2 linked regions of the Saccharomyces cerevisiae S288C genome follow. Changing the gene in region 1 together with any one later gene gives a genetic interaction. Each region holds a gene or a part of one and is shown on either strand. Other genes may lie near its edges.

Region 1 (3,357 bases):
GGAAATTGGCAGTGGACGTGAGAACAAAAAAGCACCGCTGAAAGGCTTGGCCAAGGAAGTTTAGAAAGGCGATAATAACGAGGTAAGAAGAAAGAAAAAAAAAGAAAAAGATGGCTTAGCAAAAGATTGGTTTTTATCCCGGGGGAGTTGTTGTGGCCGGGAGCAAGAGAAGAGACGCAGCAAGCGTGGGTCAATGATAATGACGCAGCGCGACGCGACGCGACGCGAATTCAAAAGTGTGAGTTTGCTCGGGGATAGTAATAATGCGGGGGGGAAGACGAAACAGACCGTGTGTGGTGTGGGTGGGATTTCGTGGGAGCACGTGGCGAGCAGAGGAAGAGCCTCACACAATGCTGCGTTCTTCATAAAGGGGATCAAAGCAAATAGATAATCGATTCCAAAGACAGATGGCTGACACGCACTTTCACAGTTTCGCAGTTTTTTCTTTTTTCGTAGTCGCTTTCCTAGTCGCTTTCCTGGCTCTTTACCTAATCGGGCTTAACCTAGCAGTACCTTTTCTCGATTCATGAAATCAAAACGCTAGTCACTTCCTTATAATTTCCTTTTTCAATTTCCGCCGCTTGCGTTTACGTAGTTTATCTATTTATAGGTACGGTATACCCTACTGCATTAATAACAATGAGTCCAGCTTTTCTTGGGTCAGTTGAATATTTAATGCATGCTTGTCGCACTGGTTATTTAGGAGCCGCAATTCTAGCTCATTAGAATTGATTTTTAGGTTTAGTTCTTCCAAAGCGGAATCGATGGAATCGCTCTCTTTGAAAACTTCCCTCGCCTTTTCACATTCACTTTCGGTGTTGTTTGTCTTTTTCACATTTTTATCAAAATCTGTCAAGTAAATAAAGGGGGAATCTTTCATATCTAGTATTCTTTTCTTCTTGACGACGCTGCTGCTAGAGCCGTCGCTGTTACTTCTATTTTCTGGTACGTGTACTGGGTAACCCTTTGCATAATAGCCATTCGATGGGGGAGGCGGTGGTGTCTCACGGTGGTGGTAATTATTGTAAGTATGGCTGCTGGAATATGGATAAGCACTGCTGTGATATGATCTATTGTTGGTTATAGACGATACTGAAGGTGGTGGCGGAAGCCCGTTGCTGGTGCTGCTAGTGCTGCTGTTCCCACTACTACCATTTCTGCTGCTGGTGCTGCCAACGCTCATCGGTTGTTGGCGTGGATGATCTGCCTGCATGTTCCGGTATCTGGACTTGACTCTTTTTTCGTCATTATCTTCTTGCGAGGCGCTCGTGGTCCTGCCGTTCGTATCTTGACTATTGCCACGTTGCGGTAGGTGGTACGAATTTGTACCATTGTTGTACCTGGGGGATGGTTGTGCTTGGTAATGCCTGCTATTAGCTGAATAGTACGGCCTTGTATCTGTGTATCCGTTTCGATAGTATGCTCCGGTTTGTCTCAAGTCTCCCTCTTGGGGCGGCTGCTCATAGTCACTGTTGTATCTCGCGCCATAAGACGCATTACCGCCTCTGTAATACGATCCGCCTGCTCCACCTCTACTTCGTCTCGCATGGTGATAACCCCCCCTTTGTCTCGGAGGAGTGGATGAGTATCTGCTATAATTATTTCCCGTGTATCCGCTCATACTTTACTGCGGTTTTTTGGTCACCTCTTCTGCCTCGTAATAAATGTGGTGTTCTTTCCTTTCATCGCAGTTGATTCATTCTCTCTGATGAAAATAAGAGAAAAAAAAGAACTTCACAGGGTAATGGCCCGTACAAAGTGTCTTTTTTTTCAATTCGGAACGGCGGAATTCCCCGCCACTCTTGCCCCGCCCCTTAAAACGCCAAGGTGAAAGGGAGCTCTACTACAGGCCCGCCACAGTATGATGTGGGATAAAAAAGATGATAGGAAGAAAAGGTGCAGACAACATCCTGTATGGGGTGCACGGTGTGGCAGTGCTAGTAATAAAATGATGTGGAGATTAACATGTTGTGGTACGGTATTCTTATCTTCAAGGTACCACAGTATAATTCTGCCTTTATCATTTTTTATTTGTATTATGTATTTTCGTGCTTATCTTGTAATTTTTAAGTTTTGGATTTCGGTGCTTCGTGTAGTTCTTCCCCTATATCTCAATCTAAAGTAAATTATTACAAAATATGGTGGTGATCTTTTAATCTCAAAGCTTCTTTTACTCCGGGCATTATAAAAACAGAATCTCTTAGCAGTTACTCTTTTCCCTTTTCTCTTGTGCCGTCATATTAGAGTAATTATAATTTCTTCTTTTTCGGCTTCCCCTTGTTTCTACAAAATCTCGATTTTATTATCTAACACTATCATAACTACTACTATTACTATTACTATTATTATTATTATTATAAATCTTAAAACTATTATTTGCTAAAACAAAATGGATGCTTTTGAGAATATGTCTGTATCAAATCATCCGGGCGGTAACGCAAGAAGAAACTCCCAATCAGCAAACGAAATGCTTGCATCGCAAATTCAGGATTTCCAGAATATTCCAAGGTCTTTCAATGACAGCAATGCAAATGTAAATTTGTCAAAAAATTGTACTGTCGGCAATCAACTGCCTTTCTCATCACGTCAACAAAAAATTATCATGGAACATTTACTGATAACGAAGAACAATTCTCAACAGCAGAAGGACTATTCACACGTGCCATGCAAATTTTTTAAGATGGGCAATTGCCAAGCTGGCTCGTCTTGTCCCTTTTCCCATTCCCCAGATATTATCAGTTCTGCGAATAATTTACCTTGCAAGTATTTCGCAAAGGGTAACTGTAAATTCGGTAACAAGTGTGTTAATGCTCATGTGCTGCCAAATGGGTTCAAGATGAACAGTAAAGAACCTATTGACATCACTCCCCCTTCACAAAACAACTACTTATCCCATGCTAGATCAGCTTCTTTCTCTACCTACACGTCTCCTCCTCTGTCTGCACAAACGGAATTCTCTCACTCTGCTTCGAATGCAAACTACTTTTCCTCGCAATACCTAATGTATTCGCCTCAGAAAAGTCCAGAGGCCCTATATACTGAATTCTTTTCTCCCCCTTCGTCTTCTTCTTCGTACATCAACTATAGCTATAATAACTCCAACATTAATGCCTATTCTCCAGTCTCTTCGTCTTCATCTAACATTTGGCAAGAGCAAGGCCAAACTACGTTATCGAATCCGAGTGTGAATCAGAATTTAAGGTATCGTACAGGCCCTGCAATTCAAGAAGAATCAGATAATGAAATTGAAGATTTACTTATTCACAATTTCAATTCCAGATACTGTCATGAATGAAGAGCCGCCCCATCCATAGTTTTTCCTAGTTCAAGCATTAATATACCGGACCACTCTACATC
Region 2 (3,604 bases), on another chromosome or scaffold:
ATTCTTCTGTTTTGGAGTTTGACTCCATAGAGGAAATTCCAAATGAGAGAAAGTCCAATATTAAGGAGCAAATCCATAGCATAACGAACGACGTTTTCTTAGCTGCTGTAAATGTAAATAGATTAAACTTCCAACCGTTACCAAACGCATTTGAAACATATGGCGTAGACTTTTTGATTGATTCGAATTACGAAGTTAAATTACTAGAGATCAACGCTTTCCCAGACTTCAAACAAACTGGGAAAGATTTGAAGAACCTCATTGATGAATTATTTGATGACACTGTCAAATACTGTGTTACCCCCATCTTTAACGAGAATAGAAATAAGACAGATGATGAAACAGACCCGAACTTCGTAAAAGTCATTGATTACACTTCAAACGGTTGGTGAAACAAAAAAAAAAAAAGAACCCATCCTAAAATACTGTTATTATTACTAAATAGTGCTAAATAATACATATGCCTTGATTTTATTTCCGAAATTTTTTGTTTTGTCAATTTAGGCTCTATTAGCTTCTTCATCAGGTTCATTATCGTCTACAACACCGTCTTCCATGGTATTTTCAATTTCTTCCTCAAAATTTGTTGTCTTATTTGTTGTAGCACTGATCAGACCTCTCTTCACAACACGTAGAGCCACCGGGATAGTAATATCATCGTCAGATATACCCAAATATTCCCGACTCCAATTTAAAATCCTACCTCTTATTCTATTGGCTTTTATTACAGACTTTCTGATTTTTTGTAAGTTTCTTATGAATTCTTTATTCCTCTGTAGTGCAATCTGCGACAGCTGTCGGGCAGACTCAATTTCCTCATTTAACTGTTGTTGTTCGGCCGCTGTTAATGTTGATATAGAAGCAGAACCGGAAGAAGATGGCAGCAACGATAACAGCGCATTAGATTGTTCCAACCTTGGCAATGCAAAAAAAGGATCTTCCTCTCCAAATTCTTCCATGCCATTATTGATATGACCAGCTTCAGTAGACAAACTATTCGAGTTAACCTCGTTGATATTGTTTTTGTTGTTAATGTCATCCTCGTCGCTTGCCCCTCTATCCTCTGGAAGGGTCAAATTGTGATTATAAGATGGTAGGTTCAAGTTAGATTCATAAATTGGTTCAGGATGATCTCCTAAAAAAACCTCCAAAAACTGGGAATATCTAACAACTGACATCTGTTCTTTTTCAATCATTAGAATTATTTGCAAGGCTAAATTTTTCAAAATTGGGCTTGAAAATGTCCTTGAGATAGTTTTATGATTTATTATATCCCCTAGGGAAAGAATGGGAGTCAAAATCTCCTTTACATTCACTAGTTTTGATAGGTCGTCATCGTCTTCTTCGCCGTAATACTCATCAGTGATATTTTCGTCTTCCTTCTCACTACCATCGATGTCGTTTTCATCACCGACTAAAACAGGCTCGACGTTGATGTCAGGTGTGAATTTTATTCTTTTGCGTCTACTATCAGTGACAATATTTGTTTGCAGAAGGCGATGCTCCGAACCGTTATAGAACACAGTTTGCTCAATCATTGGCTTAGAATTGTTCAAGTCTCTTCTTGTTACTACTTCGCTTCTCTGCAAAAGTTTGTTACCTCTGTTAGAGGATATGCCAGTGGCCTCAGGATAGATTAGTTTTCCATCAAGGGATCTTTTCAGTACCTGATAGTTACCGCTTTTTTCCTTTATTATCCTTCTAGTAAATGTGCTAATTATATTCGATTCATTAGCTAACACACTCTTGCTTTCCAATTCTGCGTTGTTTTTCATACTGCTCCTAATAGTCATCTCGATCAACAAGAAGCAACAGCTGAGATATTTGTTTCTCAACCTCTTTTTTGCAGGAGATGCTGTCATCAAGCAACGTTTCTTCTATTTGAAAGCGATTGTTTTACCAGAACAAAGTTCGCTACCCGGCTTCGGTCCTCTTGGGTATAGGAGACAATAATGATCTTCGAATAACGCCGTTATAAAGTGAACATTATAATTATCCGCTTAAAGGCTTTTTAGTAATTTTGTAAAACAATTGCTTCTAATTTCAAGACTTCCAAAAGGTTTCTCGAGTAACTAGTGCTTTCCAATATCTACAACAAAATAAAATAATAGAATAATGGGTGTTTGCACTATTTTTAGGTGGCTCTTTGCTGCTTACTTGCTCTCTTCATATAAGTCGCTTCCTGGGGCATATTTTGTTAGGTTTTATTATTATGTTATTCAAAACTTGTTCTTGCCTATGTTTACAGGGTTTGAAACCGAGAATATTAAGAAACTTGAGAAAAATGAATATGGCTGTTTCTCGTACACCAGCCTAGATACCTATGCCTCTCCATTCGAATGTGACTTCTACTTTCATAAGAGCAATAGCACCTATTTTGCGGAATTGGACATTTCAAGAGGTAATCTCATGTGCAAGATTTTTCAAAAATTGATGCTGAATTCCAAGCATTATCCATATATTCCAGTTGCGAACGTTTTCACTAATTTCTTGAAGGAAATCAAGCCTTTTCAAAAGTACTCGGTTTCATCAAGGATTATCTGTTGGGATGAGAAATGGATTTACGTCATGAGTAGATTCACAATTAAAAAGGGCACCGTCTTATGCTCATTATCATTGACCAAATACGTCCTTAAGGACGGTAGAAAGACCATCAAACCAAAGGATGCTCTTGAATACTGTGGTTTATATAATGAGAAGGTCGCCAAAATTTCTGAGGACAATCTAAAGCTTTTAACCGAGCGTTGTGGTTTCCACGAGACAGTACCATTGGAAAACTTGAGCCAAGAGTACTGTTCAGAAATCTAACTTCTATACACATATAGCCGGTATTATAAAATATATAAATCTATCTTCTTTCAAAAGTTTCTCTGTGCAGTCTGCGTTATATTTTATCTTCGGTAGAAAACAAGGTAAATTTCCCTTATTTTTCAACATCATAAAAATGAAAAACAGATATATCTTAAGTAAGATACTTAAGCAGACAAGTTGAATTGGAGAAATACAAAAGCTGTAAGGTTATCAAAAAGGAAGGCATACAGTATAATGGGGGCACAATTATCACTAGTGGTCCAAGCATCACCTTCCATAGCCATTTTTTCATATATCGATGTCTTAGAGGAAGTACACTACGTTTCACAGTTAAACTCATCAAGATTCTTAAAAACATGCAAGGCACTGGACCCTAACGGCGAAATTGTTATCAAAGTGTTTATTAAACCAAAAGACCAATATAGCTTACGACCTTTTCTCCAACGTATAAGGGCTCAATCGTTTAAGTTGGGACAACTACCGCACGTTTTAAACTACAGTAAATTGATCGAGACAAATAGAGCCGGCTACATGATACGGCAGCACTTAAAAAATAATTTATATGACAGATTGAGTTTGAGACCTTACTTACAAGACATTGAACTGAAATTCATTGCTTTCCAGTTGTTAAATGCATTAAAGGACATTCATAATCTGAATATTGTCCATGGTGATATAAAGACAGAAAATATCCTAGTAACAAGTTGGAATTGGTGTATATTGACAGATTTTGCTGCATTTATCAAACCCGTATATTTGCCTGAAGATAATCCAGGTGAATTTTTATTCTACT

What was found. Genes that interact genetically often act in the same process or in processes that back each other up.
Region 2: mutations in LGE1 (region 1) and RXT2 together harm fitness more than expected from each alone (negative genetic interaction), as found in Saccharomyces cerevisiae (6 studies listed by BioGRID, with this or other methods).

The regions. Positions count from the first base shown.
Region 1 is NC_001148.4:453,370-456,726, forward strand, and holds LGE1 (Lge1p), read right to left. Parts: upstream 1,622-3,357; coding exon 623-1,621; downstream 1-622. Other genes in the region: LCL1 (Lcl1p), read right to left, coding at 61-366; LEE1 (Lee1p), read left to right, coding at 2,390-3,295. UniProt on the Saccharomyces cerevisiae protein: Required to activate transcription of PDR3, a gene involved in retrograde regulation of multidrug resistance, a phenomenon that takes place in cells that have lost their mitochondrial genome. Also required for ubiquitination of histone H2B to form H2BK123ub1.
Region 2 is NC_001134.8:433,906-437,509, forward strand, and holds RXT2 (Rxt2p), read right to left. Parts: upstream 1,794-3,604; coding exon 501-1,793; downstream 1-500. Other genes in the region: PBY1 (putative tubulin tyrosine ligase), read left to right, coding at 1-392; YBR096W (uncharacterized protein), read left to right, coding at 2,116-2,808; ubiquitin-binding serine/threonine protein kinase VPS15, read left to right, coding at 3,046-3,604. UniProt on the Saccharomyces cerevisiae protein: Component of the RPD3C(L) histone deacetylase complex (HDAC) responsible for the deacetylation of lysine residues on the N-terminal part of the core histones (H2A, H2B, H3 and H4).